Linked DNA regions of Rhinolophus ferrumequinum. The protein of the gene in region 1 binds, or shares a complex with, the protein of each later gene. Links are inferred from orthologs where the notes say so. Each region holds a gene or a part of one and is shown in the gene's direction. Other genes may lie near its edges.

Region 1 (10,628 bases):
GACGACGGCTGCAAAGTTCCAGAAGCTCCTCCACTCCCGTCCTTCTTGCCCCCATGTCTCTCTGGATTGGGCATTCCCTTTCCCCTGGCCTCAAAAAGGGGAAAAAGTTCCCCAGCACTCCAAAAAGTAACCCCCACCCTCCCCCCCAACCCCAACCCCACGCCTACCAAAGCGCCCCTAGAAGGGGGTGGGGAGGGAAAGGACGGTAGCACAGGCTCCTCCTCCCTCCCGACTTCTCAGCACCCTCCTACATGAGGTAGGGGGTGAAGAAGCCAGGGAAGAAATGAGAGTTCCTCAGCAGTGGAGTTGCGAGACAACGGGCAGCTGCTCGAGTCTGTTTGCCCTCCTCCCCCCGCCGAGCCAGTCCTCAAGCCCGGAGGCCGGGAAGGTCGAGGAAGTAGGAAGCCGACGGCCCGGGGCTGTGGGGCCGACTCCGGCTCTGGGGCCCTGTAAGGACTGCGCGGGCCCTTCCCCTACCCGGTAGCCCGGCTCGGGGCGGCTTCCGGTCGCTGGGGTCCCGCGGCCCCACGCCCCCTTTGTCCCTCGCTTCTGAGGGAGCCCCTTTTCTTGCCTCCGCCTCACCTCAATACCTCACACACTCACTCGCTCCCTCACAGACTCCCAGTCACACACTAGGTTAAACCGAAACGGTACTTGAGGGAGGGGGGAGGGGACAATCCCAAAAACTCTCGCGAGAATCCACTAAGCTCGCGGTATTTCGCGCTTCCTTTCCACCTCTCACTGCTTTATCAAACAACGCGAGAACAGGTCCTGAGCACAAAACACGATCCGTCATATTCTCGCGATATGCTCCTCACTCAATTTGATCAAAGCTTGATTGAAACGGAGCAAGAAGGTTCTTTTAATTCAAAACTTTATTGATAATTCATTGAACAAATATTTTCAGGCTTTGGCGGAAACTAATTTTTGCATACTTTATAACTACCGGGATGAAAATATTGTCAACAGAACAAAGGGCGAATGTAAGGACATTTCAACCTAATTCCCTAAGTATTAACAATGCTTATCATTTATATAGAGTACAATACGTGCATTATCTGTAATTCTCGTACGTACTATGGCCCAAACAGGATATCCTCATCCCTGTTTTACAGATAAGGAAACCCAGACTCAGAGAAGTTAAATAACTTACCCAGGGTAACAAAGCTAGTCCAGCAAGTGCCAAAGAAGAGATTCAAATTCCTGTCTGACACAAAAGCACAAGCTCTTAAGCTTGTGTGGCATTCTTTCCTGTCTGCTTAACAATCTAAGAACCTGAAAGTTCATCACCTCTTGGGATCACGTACAGCTCTTCTGGAATTATTTAGCCTTTTATTGTCACACATTATAATTATGAACAAGAAAAACATAATACTAATAACCTTGAAAAAATAGTATCTTACACTGCCCCTCATTTTTTACTTTTCAGAACTCCTTCGCATACATTAACTCATCCCATCACAACAATCCTACAAAATAGGGTTGTGAGAGGAAACTAAGGCACAGAGAAGTTAAGTGACTTGTCCACGCTTCATTCTTTTCTTCAACACATGTATATGTGAGATTTTAAGGCCCTTCTCTGTGTTGTATTACCCACCCAGGGCACTCAAATAGGATAATGATAATATATTCATACCACAAGATACAAGGTAATAAATGTCACAGAAATGATACAGAGCACTGAGGATGTTCAAAATGAGGTTGGGAGTGTTAAGAGAAAGCTTTATAAAAGGGCATTTCAGTTGGGCCAGAAAGAGTAAATAGGATTTGTATATGCAAAGATGGGAAGATCAACCAGTAAATTAGGAGTCAGAAAACATTCTGAATGAAGGTAGAAGAATCCACTTTCAAAATCATTCCCTGAAAATGTTCCTGTTGCTTTGGTTACATGGGTACTAATAAAAAGTTTTTACTTGAACGTTTAAGTCCATAAATCTTGAATACAAATGAAAAAGACCAAGCTTTTCATATCAACTTTTTAATTATCTATGGAAATAGCAAAATTAATGCTATCAAGAAAAAAGAAAAAAAATAGAGGATAGAATTAAGTACTGAAACTCAGGTGTGGTATCTCCCCAACATTGCTGCAAGAGGGCCTGGATGTAAAGGTTCCCCCAAGTGTCTGACATGATGGCAGCTGGCATGAGACTAAATAGGCCAATTAGATGTGACTGGCCCACCTTATTAAATATTGGTCTGAGTTCAGCAAAACTACTCTGATTTTTTTTCTAACTTTTAATTGAGATGAAGGTTTTGACCCAGATACACCCACATTCATAGTAAAATGGAAAAGTGGAAGGAATCATGGTCATGTGTCAAATAAAATCTTGAAAAAGAAAATCATCCAAATTAAACAGCATTATTTATAGTTATAAAGATTAATTATCTGTTGCCTATTGAAGCAGACTAGAGATCCCTAATGAATAAATTAAGCTTTTTCTGAATTTTTATAATCTCTTATATTTCTGTAGCACTTTTTAATTTTCTACAAGACTCGTTTAAGTCTGTCAATAAATATCAGCTGAACAAGGAAATAACCTGGTGAGGTGGCCAGGATGGGTGTTATATGCATCTACTAATGGATGAAACAGACTCAGAAGGAATTGGAGCTTGTTTACACCAAGACTAGTTAGTGCCAGAAACAGGGACAGCTCTCTTTCTTTAAACCTAGGCTAATACTCTATTGCACTAAACTTTCTCCTTTTGGTGGATAAAATTCTGCTCTAATGTAATTATATCTCAATACAGCTGGGAAAAAATCTATTCTAGGAAATCTCAGATTCTGTTTAAATTTTAAAATACAAAATCTACTCTAAACTACACACACTGATTGGCCCAACAACTGGTGAGAATAGTGCTTTTGTGTAAGTGTTGCTTCACTCTACAGAAAACTTTGAACTGAGAAATTCCAAAACTGCTTGATTTGCTTTATTTGCATGACCTGTCAGGGCAGGGAGTCAGGGCAACTGTATGAACCTCAAGATGATCAGTCAGGTGATGATTACACTTTCCCTGTAAATTCCCACAGCAGGTCAGAAAGCTTCTCTTTAGCCTGTACACAAGAGAAAATATTTAAAGTTACAGTAACTTCTTATCCCCACACAGACCAATTTGTTAGTTTAGATTTTAGGTTTAAAGAGTTTAGTCTCCCTCAAAGCTTAGTCATTTAAAATGTACGCATTGTCTTCTTCTTGCCACGTAGGAAGATTGTTCCTATGTGCACCTTTTATGCTTTTTTGTATTGAATGGTATCTTTTACTTGAGTACAAATTTTACATGTCATTTCAGATGAGAAATGATAACTTCTATTCTGTGACCAAAATTTGGTCAAGTTTACTCTATTTTCAAGCTTTATAAGGTTTAAAATTTTCTAGCTACACTTAATACAGACATTATTGTTTATCTGTACAGAGAGTTTCCATGAGGAAGTATAGCTGTGTATCTAACGTTAATACTTTGGGCATAATAATAAATTAACAAAAATTCTTTTGAGTACCCATGAATATAGTAACCAATCAGATTTTCAGAACTCTAAATCAAATGAGTCAAATAAGGGTTGGGGCTGCTTTTTCATGTTTATATTACTAGTTCCTAATACACAAGTATTAGGACTCCATAGATGCTTGTTGAATGAAGAGCACTTTGACAACAGAAAAGGAAACGGAATTTTAAATATGAATTATCTTTGAAAATTCTCACTTCGATAAATGCTCTCTGTACTTCATCAATTTTAAGGTTATTAGATTTACATTATATAATAATTTTGGAACATACTTTTATACTAAAAAATATTTGTTGATTTTCTGAAATTCAAATTTAAGTGTTTTGTTATTTTATCTGGAGACCCTCTCTATTTATCCCAACAATATGTATTGAGTCTCTGACTTGTGTCAGGAGCTGGGCTTGGCAATGTCAGTAGATAGCAGTGAAAGAAACAGACCCAGTGCAAGCCTTCCTGGAGTTGACAGTCCAGGAGGGAAGACAGGCATTGAACAAATTATGGACTTAATTAATTTTGATGGTTTAAGTATTATTAAAGAGATAATATAACAGGGGACCTGATTAAGTCAGGGGTTAGAAAAGGCTTGCTTCTCTGCTCTAGAGGAAGAGACATTTAAATTGAAATCTGAATAAGAGGGTCTTAGTGAGGTGAAGACAGCAGAGGAGGCCCTCCTAGCAGTTAAGGAGAGGAGTGTAGGAATTTTCTGCACATAAAAGAAGGCGAATGTGGCTGGGGGAATTGGCAAGGGGAGCAGAGCTGGGTCTAGCAAGGCTTTGCAAGCCCAGTAAAAGATTTGCCTAACTAAGCCTAGGTACAGTGCTAGATAATGGGGTCCTAAAAATGAGGGGAAATTCCTGCCCCAAGAAACTGTGTAGTGACTCAAAGGAATGGGGTAAGAGGAATAGACAAGCAATACATCTGAATTCTACTTTCAAGGAGCATGGTTATATATAACTTTGTGGTGACAAACATGTTTCCAGACATTTCCAGATTTATTCTCAATAAATTTACGCTGCTGTGCCTGCTCACCTGAACTGTAGTTATCTGCTGGCATGGCTTTAGGAGAACGTTTGCTTAACATTTTTGAAATGTACCGTGTTTCCCCCAAAATAAGACCTAGCCAGACCATCGGACAATCAGCTCTAATGCGTCTTTTAGAGCAAAAATTAATATAAGACCCAGTCTTATTTTACTATAAGATCAGGTCTTTATAATATAATATGATATGATATATGATATGATAAACATAATATGATATAATACCAGGTCTTATATTAATTTTTGCTCCAAAAGACACATTAGAGCTGTTTGTTCGGCTAGGTCTTATTTTCAGAGAAATAGGATAGGTAAAGTCTGAGATGTGGCTAGTAGAAATCCATTCTTAATATATTTGCCACAAACTAGGTAAAAATCAAACTTTTCACCAGTTATTTTCAAGGATTTGTATGGAAAAAGAACTTAAAAAAAAAAAGTAACCTTAACTATGTTAAGAACTTTTACCCAGTGTTAGCACTATTGTATTTTAGCCTGGTTCTTCAGTTCCAGTGGCCATGAACTTCTCGGCATCACTCCAAATTTCTCTTTATGAGGACTTATTGATACAAGAAATATGATTACACATTGTGACTTGTGGTGCAGAATACAAACTAAACTGCTTGTTTTCACTACGATTACAAAAAAGGACACAATCAATTATGAACACCTTTGGGACCCTAAGTATAATTAATAACATCTTATGCTATAAGGTTGAAAACAAGTTTACCTTAATCCAAAATCTCCTAGATCTTCAAAAATACTGTAATTGCTCAAAAAATACTTCTGAAATTAAAAAAAAAAAAAAAGGAAATGGGAATTAAGTGTACTGGACTGGGGTGGAACGTCGTGTTACAAAGGGCCAATATCTTTTTTATGGCATAATTATTCCATCTAGTATCCCAAGAAAGCGTATTATCTTTAATAAAACATCTCTAATACCAATATTCTTCGAAAACTTAGTCTTTCAGTAAAGAGAGCCGGGGATTTTAATTTGCGAACTGCTTAAATGCCAAAATGAAATGCCGGTTTCATAAGAGGAACCGATCACAACCAACGGGAAAGTACCATACCTACCGCAGTAAACCTAAGATAACCTAAAGCCACGAGAAAGCTATGTTGGGAGAATCTCGCGAGAAGTACCGCATTAACCATTTTTCGCGATAGTTTGGTGCCCAGCCCTTTTCCTCTCTCGCAGGATCACGGTTAATCTCGCGATCTTTGGGAAGTTCCGTTGAGGAAGATGGCGGCGGCCGCGAGCACCCTTCTCTTCTTGCCGCCAGGGACTTCAGACTGAACCTTCCCGGGAAGAGTGGGGACTGCTGGTGCCCCGCGTCCCGGGAGCCCGAACCAACTTGATTCCGCCGGTATTGGTGGGGAAGGGCTTATCCTCTTGTGTAGGACTCAGGCCTTCCCCGTCAGGATGAAGGCTCAGGGGGAAACCGAGGGTGAGTGACTGAAGGGGAAAGCAGGGGGCGGGACACAGCTGGGGAAGCCAATCTGTGAGAGGAGCTGGGGGTCCGATGCCTTCGCCGGGGCCACTCTCCCGACGGCGCCGAGTCCCGAAGGCGGGATTTGTGTGAGTTTCAGATTCTGACTGTGCCTTCCCTGGTGATCCAAAGCTCCGACTTTGGGGTGATGGGGGCTCCCAACTTCTGTGAAGGTTTCCTGTTGAGATAGGGGCAATCATTTGGGCCTCAGGACATTTTTATCCTAAAGTTATGGGAGACCAGGCGAGTGAATCTAATACCTGCTTACACCTCTGTTCCAGAAGAGACATCTGAATAAATGACATAATAATAAGAGCTATTCGTTCAAGTACTGGAGGATGTTTTGGCATGAATGAAATGATTAGGTCCTTATGATATTAAAAGCCAACAGTTCCCTAGAATGTCAGTGTTCAGATCTTGTGCTATTGTATATTTTTTTAAAAAGGCGTTGAACTTCATTCTTTCAATGGCTGGGCTAACTCAGAACTGCTGGAAAACAACTTTTCTATGGAATCTTACTTAATTTTCTAAAGTTCTACACTCCAGTTTAAATGCTTCTTTAGCATTTTGGACATAGTTGTAGTAATACAGTTCACTGTATTTTTCACTTGTCTTCTCCACTTTACTCTGAGCTTCGTATTATAGAATAGGGACTTTGCCTTACTCATCATTCATTGTATAGTCGCTGGCACATAAGTAGTTGCTCAAAAAAAAGTTTGATTTGAGCATTCATATAAAGATATGTATCAGGCTTCTCAAGAAAAGAATGGGGAATGTGTTTTGAAGGAGAGGAAGAAGGTTTACTCTTTGGGTGCAGAGGAATGACAGTGTAAAATGGAAACTCAATGAGGCAGGAATCTTGTCTAGTTTGCTCACTGCTGTATCCCCAGCACGTAAAATAGTGCTTGAGTGAATGAGTCTTGAAAGTGGGAATAGCCAGAAATGTGTCCAGAACTGTAAACTGGCTGCAACAGCTCAAAAACCAGTTTTTTGGATGAGGAAATTGGAGGAAGGAGTTTGAATTTTGATTTAGAAGGTGTCACTGCCTCAACTCTGATTTCTGATATTCTGTTGGTCTTTCAATGACACCTTTTCTGTAACATCCCTGCAACTAACTTTTTCTCCTTTGAATTTCAATTAATAATGTGCGTCTGTTTTTAAGAGCATATCCCATTTTGCTTTGTTTGAGGTTATTTCCACATAAACTTATCCAGACCCCTTCACACATGTCATTTCAGGGATATTGTGTGTTTTTGCATTGCCAGTGGTCTCTACCATGTTTCCCTGAAAATAAGACCTAACCGGAAAATAAGCCCTAGCATGATTTTTCAGGATGACATCCCCTGAACATAAGCCCTAATGCGTCTTTTGGAGCAAAAATTAATACAAGACCCAGTCTAATTTTCAGGGAAACACGGTATTACAGGTCCTTGCTCATTCTAAGCAGTAGAAGAATTAGAGGAGGGTTTAAAGGCATAGGAGTTTCGTTCACACAGTTCAGGAGCCAGTTTTTTCTACTTTTCTCTTACCTCTGCTGGAAACTCATCCTTTAGACATTTACCTCTTCCCTGTCCATATAGATTTAGTTTGAATTCAAATAGGAGAAATCTGAATGACAAAGCATGTTTTCTTGATAATACTTAGAAATTGATCTCTTAAAATTATGTAAAAAATTAAGAAAGTCTGTATTTTCACATTGAAAATCAATTAACCATAGTAAGGCCATGTTCAAATATATACTCTATATGTATCACGCAAGGGATTTCATGCATATCATGAAATGATTTTGCCACTAAATTGTAGTCTTGATCCTGAAACATGATTAGAGATGAGGTTTTTTGTTGTTGTTTGTTTGTGTGTTTTTTTGGTTCCCATTCAAAGTTTGAATAGAAAGCAGTTCCAGTCTATGGTATTTATTAGATTAGACTCATAATTTGTGTGTCTTCTTGTCATTAAAAATAAATTCTTTGTATGTTTCCAAGTAAATGATACTGAAAAATATTTTAACTAAGTTCTTACCAGGATCATGTATGGGGATTTCATTTGCAAGAAAAACTGGAAGTTCTTGAAAGAGTTTCTAACGATGTCTTCTGATTCATATTGTAGAATCGGAAAAGCTGAGTAAGATGAGTTCTCTCTTGGAACGGCTCCATGCAAAATTTAACCAAAATAGACCTTGGAGTGAAACCTTTAAGCTTGTGCGTCAAGTCATGGTGAGTGAGGATTGTGGTGTGTGCTTAGATAATTATTTAATAAGCTCAGCTTCCTGTGTAGACTTTTCCAAACTAGTTGTTATAGTGTGTCTTTAATTTTATTTATCATAAAGTTGATAGCCACCCCTACCCAGGTGTTTTAAGAGTCTACTTAAGGAGATATATTTATAAAATTGTGTTAATCATGAGTTATAGTGCACTGGTGTACTGTAGGCAAAGGTGCTAAGAAATACACCAATAAGAGACACACATGATAGACTGGTATAGAGACATTTATTGTTCACTTCTTGTCAAGCTCCTTGTTACTAATGTAATAGTATTTACATTGCGTCTATGCTGGGAGTAGAGTTTGCAGTTCATTCTGAATTAGTTTCACCTTTTCACTCTGTCAGCCTTTTTCCACAGTACTGCTCCTTCCTGAGTCATTCAACAGTATGGTGAGCTCTTAGTTAAGTGGACGACGGGGTTGAGCATGGCTGGATGTTAAACGTTCATCCATATGATTCCACTGGTGGTCAAGTGATACAGGAAAACTTGACTTCTACTTACCTGGGCAATGGTTATATGGGTGTGTTTACTTTGTGATAATCATGGATCTCTTCATTTAAGATTAATACGCTTTTCTGTATATATGCTCTACTTCAATGGAAGTACCCCCTCCTCCTCACCAAATCTTACTTTGGGTTCAGAGTAAGTTCAGTTTAGTAGGTTTATTAGTGTTTAAATGATCATATCAGTATAGCACTAGCAAAATAACTGAATTTGCTGTCAAAATACCTGTATTTTAGGCTTGACGTCAGTGCTTACTACTTATGTTCCCTTGGACAAATTATTTACTATCTCTGAGTTTCAGTTTTCTTATCTGGAAAGTAAAGGCACACAATACCAGTTTGCTTTTCCACATACATTAAGTCCTTACTTAACGTTGATAGGTTCTTAGAAACTGCAACTTTAAGCGAAACGATGTATAACGAAATCAATATTACCATAAGCTAATTGATATACACAAAAGTTAAGTTCCTATGGTATATTTCTGGGCACAAAAACATCACCAAATTTCTAAATAAAGACCCAAAACACTTCTAATATTAAACATTGAAATAAATGTGAGCATACATACATTTAAGAAATATTAATAAAAGCAAGTAAGATAATTATGTTCCATCCTGCCTATTCCCAGTTCAGGGTCTTGGGTGGCCAGAGCCTATCCTGGAAGCTCAGGGCAAAATGTGGGAACCCACCCTGGACAGAATGCCATTCTATCGCAGGGTGTACTCACACACACACTCATACTCATATTTACTCATACTGGGACAATTTAGACATGGCAATTAACCTAACATGCATATCTTTGGGACATGGGAGAAAACTGGAGTGCCCAGAGAAAACCTACATAGACATGAGGAGAATATACAAACTCCACACAGACAATGGCTCTGGCCAGGAATCGATTTTTGTTTTCTCATCAACATGTTTTCTCATGAAGCGAAGTTATTCGAGGACCTACTGCAATTCTGTTGTAAGGATCAAATCAGATAATGGATATCAAAGTGTCATGTTGCTAAAAGATTTCTGTAACTGTAAATTCTACAAATGTATACTCGTATGTATCTTCTGGCTTAGGATTGTGTACATAAAAGGAATTAAAATCTTAAATAGAAGAATGGCAATTTTTCCAGTCTGGGAATTTAGAGGTTGTCATTTTTATAGCACAAGGCAGCCATATTCTAGTTTGAAATATGTTCTATAAATGATATTGTCAGAGAGAAATCATGAGGTGAAGGAATTTCAGGTGGCTACTTAGACCCTTTCTTGAGGTACCAGTGTCTGTCTTTGGTCACCATAACATCCATTGTCTCTCACTTTTGGAGATTCAAAAACCGAATTTTATTGGTATATGAAGACTTTGAAGAGTTTTCAACAACTGATATACTAACAAAATCTCAGTAGATTAACATGTAAATCATAATGCCAATTTTATCGATTTACAACACAGGGTTTATCTTTCCAATTAACAAAATACTGGTATCCATTGTCCAGAGCACCCCCTTGTCTATTCAAGGTAGAAAGGAAGCCAGATTATTGATTAATCAGATGTTTGTTTTGTGAGGGTGGAATTAGAGCAAAGAGAGATGGATTTAGGGCATGGGACAGCCTGAAAAACTATCCTGTGTCATAAAACTGTTCACATTTCTGGGGACTAAAATGTTGTGCAGAGAAAAAAGTTCTTCCCTGGATAGGGTTAGAAAAACTATGCCCAAGCTTTTACTCTTTGGGAGTCTCTTTTCTGGGCTACATATTCTGTTTCTTAGAGTCAATCTAATCTGACTGCAGTCTGGTTGTATTTCTTAGATTCCATGCAAATCACGTGGTTAGATTTGGGAATTGCCA
Region 2 (11,469 bases), on another chromosome or scaffold:
AGTGAGCAAAAAGACAAAAAATTCTGGACTCAGGGGGAGACAATTAGCAAAACACATACCAACTAAATTACCTAGAATGTTAGAAAATGATAAGTGCTATGAAGAAAAAATGAGCAGAGTAAAGGCAATGGAATGTGGGGGTCAGATTGCAGTAGTAAAAGGGTGGCCAGGGTGAGCCTCCTTGAGAAAGGAATAGGAAGTGCAGGATGTGAGAGATAAGTCATGAGACTATCTGGGGGTCAATAGATAAAGGCAGACAGAGTAATCAGTGTGAGGGGCCCTTAGACAGGGTTGTCCTGATGTGCTTCAGAACCAGAATGGCTGGAGCAGAGTGAACAAAGGAAATTAAAGAAAGGAAGGTCAGAGAAGTAATACCAGGTCAGATTATGGCAGGCCTCATAGCTCACTGTGTTTGGGATTTTTTTGTTTAAGGAGAGCACAGCTCACAGTGGCCTATGCGGGGATTGAACCGGCGATCATGGTGTTATTAGCACCACGCTCTTACCAACTGAGCTAACCGGCCACCCCTCATTGTGTTTGGTTTGTACTCTGAGTGGAATGGGGAGCCATGCAGACCTTTGATTAGACGAATAACGTGATCTAACTTGAGTTTTAAAGATGATAACTCTGACTGCTGTGTTGAGGATAGTCTGTAGATATCAGGGAAGAAGCAGAGAGAACAGTTAGATGGCAATTTCAGAAAACGCAGGTGAGAGATGATGGAGGTGCGAACCTGCAATTAGAAGAGGAAAAGTGAGAAATGAACAAGTGTTCTGGCCTGAAGGCAGAACTATCTTGATTTCTCGATGGATTGGATGTGATGTATGAGAAACCAGGAGAGGAGTCAAGGATAACCCCATGTTTTTTGGGGTTTTTTTTTTTTTGCCTGAACAATGAAATTGAAGAAGTTGCCATCAGCTGAGTTGAGGGAGGCTGCAGGAAGTGTGGTGTGGGTGGATGAGGGACGTAGAACAGGAATTTGCTTACGTCCTTTAGACACCTAAGTGAAAGAACCTAGTAGTTGTTTTCAGAGTCTTAGGAGGTTGCAGCACCTCCATCAACAACAAATGCAATCATAGTTATTGGTGCCCACTCTGTCAGACAGTGTTCTGGCACTACACCAGTGAGCAAAATAGATAAGAAAGTCTCACCTCATGGGGCTTACATCCTTGGGGAAGAAGTTGGCTATATAAGCCTGAATTCAGAGGATAGGTCTGGGTAGGAAATAATTTGGGAGTCAGTTTACAGATTATACTTAAACCCACTGGACCAGATGAATGATCAAAAGTGAGTGTAGATAGAGATGAGGATAAAGAAGTGGCCCTAAAACACTCTTTTGTTTAGAGGTCACGGTTGAGAAGAGGAACCAGCCAGACAGATTAAAAGAGACCAACCAGTGAGGGAAGAGAAAAGTGAAGAGAGTCTGGCATCCTAAAAAGCAAGGGAAGAAAGTGTTATCAAGGAGAAGGGGGTGATTGATGTGTCCAGGGCCACTGAGAGACCAAACACAGGGAACGGTGAGCAGCATGGAGGTTTTTGATGACCTTTACGAGCTGAGTTTTGGTGGGGAAGTGAGAATGAAAAACTAATTGGAAACAGTATAAGGAAGGAATAGAATTGGAAACAAAATATTTAGATAATTCTTTGAAAGTGTTTTGCTGCAGAAGGCAGCAAAGAAGTAGAGCAGTTGTTGGTGAGTAAAGTGGGGCTGGGGTTTTTTTAAATTAGAAAAATAGCAGCAGGCGTGATGATGAGAAGGAGTAGAGGATGAAAACTTGGTAAGATGGGAAATGGGGTGAACTGCTGGTTCAGTGTCTTTGCAAGGGAATGGAACTATGGGAGAATGTACTCTGGCCAGGTGAAGTTCATGCGCAGTAGCTGGCAGAACTGTGGGTGCAATGCTGATGCGTGGGCAAACGTGGTGGTGGTGGCAATCTGTACGAGTCCTCTCTTCTGATTTCTCCTCTTTTCTCAGTGAATTAGAAAGCAAGATCTTATAAGTTGAGAGTGGTTAGGAGTGGTTTGGAGAAAGGAAATGGTGTGAAATTGGGTCAACAATGTGAAGAGGGTCTAAACAAGGATATACAGTTTGTCCAGTAGCGTCAAGGGCCCACTGCGGGTTTGGGGTTTGGAGTTACGAATTTCAAGTATAACCAGTTGACTTGCTTGTGTTTTCCTGCAGCCATTTTCAGTTGCATTTGTACAGGCATGTGGTATGTAGTAAGCAAGCTGCATTCAGTCTAGGGTGTCATCTTGCCAAGAGAGTAGGACAAATCAAGACAGGGGCAAGGAAGTCAAAGATTTATGCAAGGCAATTTTAGAAATCTCCAAATACCCTTTGACTTACAACCCCTCCATATTAGTTGGCTAGGGCTGACATAAAAAACCAGAGACTGGGTGGTTTAAACAACAGACCTTTATTTTCTCACAGTCCTAGAGGCTGTAAGCCCAAAATCAAGGTGTTGGGTTGGTTTCTTCTGAGACTTTTCTCCTTGGCTTGCAGACGGTCACCTTCTCACTGCATCCTCACATGGTATTTTCTCTGTGTGCCCACATCCCTCAGTGTGTTCAAATCTTCTGTCCAAATCTCCTCTTCTTATAATGGTATCAGTGGGATTGGATCAGAGCCCGCCCTCAGGCTATTATTACTTAACTTAATCACTTCTTTGAAGGCCCTACCTCCAAATACAGTCACATTCTGAAGTCCTGAGGGTTAGCACTTCACTGTAAGTATTTTGACGGCATACAATTTAGCCTCTAACTCTATCCATCTATGTAAGGCATCCCAGATAGTCACCTCAATGCAACACTGTATTTGTACAGGTTTGCTTTAACTTTCTGCCCCCACAATACAAGTTATACAGACTCTGCCTTTGGGGCCCTTCACGTAAAAAGTGTTGTTTTTCTAAGAGTTAGGGTTGATATTCTTCCTACTTTCTGATGCTTGCAGATTATTTTAATACACAGTAAAAAATATATTTCATATTTGTCTCAGTACACACATGCATAAATATATAACTGAAAAAATGTCTACAAAGCAGTATAATGCACTTTGATGTTTTAGAAATTTTCTGTTCCATTCCATTTTATTTTTAAAATCTCTACAGAGATGTCGGTTAGGCATCTCAAACAAATGGCAATCACATAGTTATGTGTAAATACGAGTACAATAATGTAAGCATTGATTATGGATTTAACAAAAAAAAAAGGATTTTTTCTATAGAGAGGATAGAGGAAGGGAATGGGATATGTTAGAGAGATAAGATCTTTGTTCATCATACCGGGACAGAAATAAATCTCTAAAAGTGTTCAATAGACATAGAGAATATATGCATATTATGTAAAAATATGGAAGCAAAGCAAAGAAGAAATAATTGAAAATGTTGCATGTGGTTGCTGCTATGGAAAATGATATGACAGGATATGGGGGTTGGGGAAATGGAGAATGAGAACATTTTTGTTATCTTTTGAGTTATCTTTGAGTGCTATATTGATTAGAATAAAAAATGACTTTAAAAAAAAGACATAGTATATGCAGCCACCTCTTCTCCTGACTCTTAGGAACAGGCCTGGTAGAGTTTCTTGCTGCACATTCAAACCTCCACACCAAACATTTGTAGCTTTTTACACAGAATTCTAAACTGTGCATTTCACAGTGCTTATATTTTAGACCAGAGGTTCCCAACCTTTTTTTCAGTAAATGAAGACACTTCCTTCTTTAAACGAGACAGGATAACCAGTAGCTAAGAGCATAGACCTTGGAGAGAGACCCTGGGTTTAAATCCCTGTTTTGCCACCTACTAGCTGTGGGACCTTGGGAAAGTCTCTTAACGTCTCAGCCTCCGAGCTTCATTATCTGTAACATAGAGATAATAACAATACTTACCTCTGGGAGAGTTATGAAAATGAAATGAGTTCATTTTTTTTAAAGTGCTTAGAAAGAACTATGCCTAGCAGGTTAAATACATAAAATTTCACAAGAAGGTAGTACTTATCCTTTTGAATCTATAGATGGAGAAAATACACTCAAAGTTACCATGAATTTGGTTATTATAATAACAATAAAATATATAAAATATTCATATTTAATTACTATATTATAAATAATTCATATTTTATTCATCACAGCTAGATCTGCAGTTTGCAGAAGAGTTTATCTGTAGGATATGCTATTACTTTATCAGTCTATAGACAATATTCAACGTGCATATAAATTTGCAATAACTTTGAGGTCTAGAATTCACAAAACACATATAGTGTCCGTACATTGACCCCCTCAATGCCCGTAAGGTAGCGACTATAATTGGTCATTTTAAATTGATTAGAATCTTCCCAGAATTTTTATGTGGAAGCTACATTAATATGAGCCTCTTCTCTTCCTGCCAGAATTATGGCCCAAGGTGAACCTGTGAGAGTTGAGTAAACAAATCCCACATAGACGGCAGGAGTTTAGGCCCTTGGAAAAGTAACATAAGATATTATTGACTAGAGCTACTGAGAGGCATGCTTAGAATACAATTGTAACTAAGAAAGCTTAAGTCTAATTTATTCCATTGCCTGAGACTGTATTAATAGAAGGTAAATCTAATTTATTCCATTGCCTGAGACTGTATTAATAGAAGGTGTTAGGAGCAGAAGTGGGGGATGGTTAAAAAACAAAAGTGTCCACTAGTCTTTTGCATTGTCTCAGGGAGGAGGCACCCTGACCTATGAACACAAATATTCCAATCTCTTTAACAAATATCCCTACCCTATGAAGATGCAAATCCTGATGATTGCATTAATTCTTTTTTTAAAAATCTATCTTCACTTGTTCTGATCCAAGTTTATAAGCAACACTTTGGTGATAATTTGGCTTTCTGTGTAGGTTTGTCTATGAGTAAAATCATGCTCATTGTAAGTGAATAAATCAGCATTCTGGATTATATAGCAGTTGCTATGAATGAATTTATTTAGCATGAGTCCCTGAGGGAATCCTCAGCTCTGGGTACCCAGCAGAAGGACAGATCAGAGGACAAGATGCTAGAATGAGGGGACCACCGTACTCCTGCCTCATTCCCAGCTGTTGTCTGTAGCTGATCTCTCCCCATCTCATCTTTTCTAACTGCAATTTGACCCGATGCAGAACTCCCATTCCCAATACTGTTATAGCTTTGGGTTTTCCTGGTAGGAAAGTCCCCTACTACATTGTTCTCCCCCAGAAAAGTGGGCTAAGGTACATTTTTGGCTTTGATACTCAGTTCTGATTTGGAATTTGTGCTACACCAATTATTTAAATTATTTTCATTAACTACCACTTACATACTGTGTTGATTCATTCAGTTCAACAGTCATCTTGAGCAATGAGCAACACATTTTGTTGGGAGATACATGATTATAAAGATGGATTACGAAAATGTGGAAGCAACTCAAATGTCCAGCAACAGAGCAAAATGTGGTGTATATACACAATGGAATATTATTTATCCTTAAAAAGGAAGGAAATTCTGACATATGCTACAATGTGGATGAATCTAGAGTACATTAAGCTCAGTGAAATAAGCCAGTCATGAAAAGACAAATACTGTATGATTCCATTTATATGGGATACCTAGAGCAGTCAAAAATCACAGAGGAAGAAAGTAGAATGGTGTTTCCCAGGCGCTAGGGGTATGGAGGAATGGGGAGTTGTTTAATGAATACAGGGTTTCAGTTTTACAAGATGAAAAGAGTTCTGGAGATGGATGGTGGTGATGGTAGCACAACAATATGAATGTACTTAATATCACTGACATGTGCACTTATACAGTTAACATTGTAAATTTTGTTACCTGTATTTTACCACAATAAAGAAAAACAGCAGGGGAAAATAAAAAGATGGATTATGGTTCCTGTGCTAAGGTGCTTACAGCTCCTGAGAGGCCAAACGGTAGGGTGGGATTAGTGTTAAGGAAATGAAAACTAAAGAGAGTTTAATACTGATGAGACCCCGCCCATTTCACGAAGAAGCTGATACAAGAGTTAGGCCATTACGTAATTCCTTCAAAGCTTAAAATCCGTTGAGCAGAAGCTTCCCATTCCAACTTGCAGAATGGAAGGTGCAGTAGAACCTGACCCAGTTGCGCCTGCCAGCTGGGGTTGGATCGCAGAAGCCCTCTCTGGCCCAGCAGATGGCGCAGGCGTCCGCAGTGAACCTCCAGGCCCCTAGGCGGCGCTGTGACCGGGCCTCTCTGCCCCTCCTCGGTGACGCTTCCTTCCGCCTCCCGAGCCCGCCTCTCCTCACCAGCGCACAGCTGCGCAGACGCCGGCTGCGTGCCCGTGAGGAGCATGGCGGCGTCTTCGAGCGGCGAGAAGGAGAAGGAGCGGCCGGGATGCAGCTCGGGAACGGCGGGCGGTAACAGCACGCGGGAGCGACTGCTGTCTGCGCTGGAAGATCTGGAGGTCTTGTCGAGGTAATGTCGTCGCTTGAGGACCTGCCTCAGGGTTGGCGCTAGTTCCAGGGGCTCCGCGGGGAGGGTGACCCCCGCGCTCACTTCCAAAGACAGCGGCGAGGTTGTCGTGGACGTGGCGTCCGCAGCCGTCGGGGACTTCCAGACGGCATTCCCTCCCCCCCGCATACCCCCCTGCCAGAGGACGTTTTAATAATGACCCTGGAACCCCAAGACTGCCAGAACCGTAGCAGACCATAGAGATCGCCTGGTGTGAGCCCCTTCGACCACGGACACTCTAGAAACATTTAAAAAGCTACTACCGGCTGTCAAGGGCAGGGACACGGTAGTGAGCGGGGGACTAGATGTCCGCGAGAAGGAGCCCACTCGCTGTCAAGGGGGACAGACGTGTAAACAGATGACAGGCGCGGAACCGGTTTTTATCAGAAGCTTGCGCTGCGCGCTACTGTAATAGAGCAGGGGGACGAGGCGCCTGGCCTGGTCGTAATCAGAGTAGGCTTCCTGGGGAAAGGACTGCCTGGGAAGAACGAGTTCACCAGATGCACTAGGCGGCAGGTAGCAAAGGCCTGGGAACCTGAGCACGCGCGACGCGGTGGAATGGCAGGTTTGGGACGGCTGGAGTGCAGTGTGCATGGCAGAGGTATGAGATGAAGTTGGATGTCATTCTCCGGATTCTGTCATCTTTCATGATAGCCTGTCAAGTTGGAGGCTTCCTTAATTCCCTCACATTCACTTGGATGTTAAAATTGTTTGGGTTCTTCCCCCTAAACTGTCGCTGAGATTGGACCTCTTGTTCTCATCCACACTGTTTTACATCCTATTCTTAACTGTTAAATAATGCGTTGCCTACGGGCGTCTTCTTCACGTTATCATTCTATTTTGCCCAAGAACAGGGTTATCTTTTAAAGAGGCATCTCGAATTACTTTTCTGCTTTAAAATATTTGGTAGGTTCCCATTGCCCGATGAGATAAAGTCCAAACTCTTTAGCTTAGTGTGGGATAAAGCCATTCTCCATTTCCTCTGAATTTATCCATCCTCTTGTTCTCATTTACATCCACATCCCTCCGACCTCCCTACCCTTCACTCCAGCCTCAGTGAATGCTTTCTATTCTAAAGTTCTACTTCCTCATCTTTAGTGCCATTCCCACTCCACCTCCAACTTGATGAATCATTCATTCATCCTTCAGAATCCAGTTTAAATGTCATCTTTTCTGTAGCCAACACTCTTGGACAGTTATGTTACCTGACCCTACTAATGGTCAGCATTTTATCTGCTGTGAATTTAGTCCTTGCTATGGCATGCATTACTTACCAGATGAGTAGGTCAGCATGATATTAAGTGATGTAATAAAAACACACACCAGAAGTTAAATAGTTTATGGGTTTAATCCACTGTTTAGACTATTAGACTCAAATGCTGCCTGACTACAAATAGAGCACGTGGAATCTACAGACAACCAGCAGTCAGTACAGTGAACAAGAAACTCAGAGGCATAAGGCAGCTGCCTTAATGTGTTGCCTCTGTGTAAATGTTTACACAGATGAATGTAAACGCTATTTTCTTCTGTTTTTGTTGGTTTTGTAGTTCCTGTCAGAAACCTTGTCAGTTTCCTTTTTCAGTTAATCCTGTCAATGAATACCAGCATGATTTCTTAGTAAAAAGACACTAACAAGACAGCGTTTTCACGATAAGTTTTTCGTTCAATTATTTATGTCTCTGCTCTGTGTAACATGACTCTTGGGGACAGCTAGTTGAAGCTTCATTTAGTTCACGTTCAGGACTTATTCTTTTTAAGTTCTTAAACACCAAGTTAACATCCCATACACACTGACTAGCCCACTACTTTTCTAAATAGGGCCAACTGTCATTTGCAGAACAATGCATTCAACCTACCTGCTTTTAGAATCACTGGTCATCCAAACTGGGTCTCTGAGTACTTTGAAGTACCTTGAATAGGCAGCCATGTAATTCTGATGTAAATTTGTGTTCCATTAGATTCAGAGCAACTAATGATTAATTGGAAAATACCTCTGTTGCTCCTGTTTGAGGTGATTTTTCCACTTCCTTAAATTCTGGATCGTGTTCTATTTGAAATGGTCCGTTGAGCTATATCTTCTTTGGGGAGACTGCTCACCTGACGGCCAAGTCTAATGCTTGACTGGCTTCTAACGTCTTTGCAAAGGAATCTTGATGATACTGTCACGTACGAAATTGAGTTAAAATGTTTCTTATTATTTATTCATTTTGACCAAGCATATGGAATGGATGGTAGTGATTAATTTTTCTGTAAATATGTTGACTTTATAAAGACGTGACACCCCCTTTGGGAAGTAGTGACTGCTGCCTTTTGTTCTGAGTACTTCTTAGTCTTAGAATTTCAAATCTTTGCCTTAGCGTATTCATTGAGTATATTCAGTGTCTCACCCTTCTGCTCTGGAGCCCAGTAAATTGATTTATTTTTGAGTTTTACTTGCTGTAATATAATTTGTTGGTCTGTTTTTCTGAGTAACCCTAGTGTATTTTATATTTCATGTTTACTAAGTTCAGGAATTGTTTCTGAGTCTACTTACCAGACTAATGGTCTTGGAGAATTTCTTCTGACCTTAGACAACCCAGCGGTCAATCTTGAGTTCTTGCCTGTGGATCGCTGTGGCAGTGGGCTGTGTATCTGAGGTGTGTTTTCCAGATGCTGTTGGTACGTGTAGGAGTGCATATAATTGATATTCATGTACTCTCCACTTGAGATAACATAACTAATTTATGTTATGTTAAATTTGAGACTAAATTGAAATTCTCATATATCCAGATTTGACCAGTTTATTCCTCTTTGTATTTGATTCTTTCCTTGATTATCAAGTATATAGCATTTTCTGTGTGAAATGTATTTATTCACTGAAGTAATGAATCATCATTTAAATTTTCCTGAAGAACCTCAATATTTGTGAAACTTTCTCTTTCAGCTTTTCAGTTGTACATGAACAGTTGAGGTACTGAGTCCTCTTTTGCTTCCTCTAAAAGAAGCTGTAATTCCTCTGTTGCTCTCTTTCCAGGAATGCCGAAAAGACCGATTTGTTATTTGTAGTCTTCCTCACTGAATCTATTGATAAATTGGTGATAGGCTTCTTTCTTTCTGTAGGCTTCGGTAATAACCATTGTCTTAGAAGTTCATTTTTCTTTTTCTGATTTTTCTCATGACTTATCTGCCATGCTGTTTTATTTGTTCATGTCTAAAGAAAGACTGTAGGTGACAGTAGGTAAGTGAAAATTTACCTCTTTTATTATCCTGGAGGTGGTGGTGGACAAGAGTCTTGGTGGTTTGCCACCTAAGACTGATTGAAACTTCTCCATAGAATGACGCTACTCCAGTGTAATTGGCTTTCAAAAAAGTTGTATTATGTGCCCATAGTGCATATACTGATTCTGTGATCTGTGAAGTTTGTCATTATCCTGTAAATGAAACTTCTCATTACATTACATTTTTAATGAAAAATGAAAAGAAAAATTCCTCACTAATGTAACCTCTGACTTTTCAAAATAGTAGCTTTGAAATTTGGAATATAATTTTTACTGTTAACCTGATTATATAGCTTTTCAGTATATTTATTACTTTGTAAAACGTGACAGAATAAGGTAGTCTTTGGAGGAATTTTAAAAATGAAAACTTACAGATAGATTGTAGTCAAAAAGTTTTTCTTAACCTGTTCGTATAATAACTCAGAACTCATTGCCCCACAGAAACCCTGTTGATAGGAATCTTGAGATTTCCACACCAGTCTATTAATTCTGTTTACCTCTAATTTACCTGAGGTGCGATACAGTTGACCCTTGAACAAGGCAAGGGTTAGAGGCACCCATTCCCCATGCAGTCGAAAATTCGCTTATAACTTTTAACTCTGGGTTTATTTTTGTATTTTATTGTTTGTTATTCTTGTCACCTGTGTTAGAATTTAAGTGCCATTGTTTACTTGTATAACCCACACATCTAGAAAGTGCCTGACACATAATAGGCACGCAAGAAATATTTGATGAATGAGTGAATGAAGACTTTCCATTCCTGTATCCACTTTTTTCATTATTTAGCTAATTAATTCATACACAGTGCTGTGGGGAATTTTGGGTACGGTTGGCACCATCCAGAAAAATAATATGAGGCTAGCAGGAAGGAAGTTGGAAATAAGAAGGTAAAAATAGCCTGGCAACCAGCGGAAAGGTACAAACACTGGGGCTGACTAGTGTCACGTAGCAAATTGCGAAGCTGTCGCTTCCTGCATAATTTCTGAAAAATCTCATCTGTCGACAAGTTTGGAACTAATGTATAAATATTACCTGCTATACACTTTTTCCTAATCTATATAATAGTTTTCGTATAGGGTTGGCATGTTTAGTAAATGAGCTTCCCAAGTAGATATTATTATATATAAGAATCCCTCTTACCTGATACCTGTTTGGTTAATTTTAAAAAATTTTAATTAAAGTAGAAAGTCATTAAAAAATGATACATCCATTTCTTGTTCTATTTTCCCTTAAAACATATAAATTTATGTTTTCACTAATTTTTTCATAAAAGACGAGACAGAGAACTTTTTCTATGAAGGGCCAGACTAAATATTTTTGGTTTTGCAGGTCATAATTTCTCTGCTGCAACTACTCAGCTCTGCCATGGTAGTGGGAAAGCAGCCACAGACAGTAGGTAAATAAAGAGGCATGACTGTCTTCCAAGGAAGCCTTAGTTATAAAAACTGCAGATGTGCTGGATTTGGCCTGCAGACAGACCCCTGATGTAGTAGTTTTTCATACATAAACCACCCATAATGCATTGGCTGCAATTTCTAGTTTGGGTCGTTTCAAGTGAAATGAGAACTTAGTCTCTCATCAGGTATTCTTAGGGCAGACTCTGCTGGGTTTTTGACTTTCTCCTGGTTCTTTACAGTTGTCCTTTGCAAACCTCTGTAGAGTCTTTCCAAGCATTTGGCTTCAATTTTTATAGAAACAGCTCTTTCTGTTTACAATCATATTTCATTGGTATTTATGTAATGGGT

The links. The genes of interacting proteins can lie anywhere in the genome.
Region 2: MED1 (region 1) and MED4 share a complex: the UniProt entries of both Homo sapiens proteins name them as parts of the mediator complex. The link is inferred for Rhinolophus ferrumequinum from reciprocal best matches to the Homo sapiens genes MED1 and MED4.

What each region holds. Positions count from the first base shown.
Region 1 is NC_046304.1:36,119,231-36,129,858, reverse strand, and holds the start of MED1 (mediator of RNA polymerase II transcription subunit 1), read left to right. Parts: upstream 1-5,754; 5' UTR 5,755-5,957; coding exon 5,958-5,982; intron 5,983-8,130; coding exon 8,131-8,237; intron 8,238-10,628. Other genes in the region: CDK12 (cyclin-dependent kinase 12), read right to left, coding at 1-74. UniProt on the Homo sapiens protein: Component of the Mediator complex, a coactivator involved in the regulated transcription of nearly all RNA polymerase II-dependent genes.
Region 2 is NC_046287.1:89,286,221-89,297,689, forward strand, and holds the start of MED4 (mediator of RNA polymerase II transcription subunit 4), read left to right. Parts: upstream 1-6,235; 5' UTR 6,236-6,306; coding exon 6,307-6,431; intron 6,432-11,068; exon of another isoform or gene 11,069-11,120; intron 11,121-11,469. UniProt on the Homo sapiens protein: Component of the Mediator complex, a coactivator involved in the regulated transcription of nearly all RNA polymerase II-dependent genes.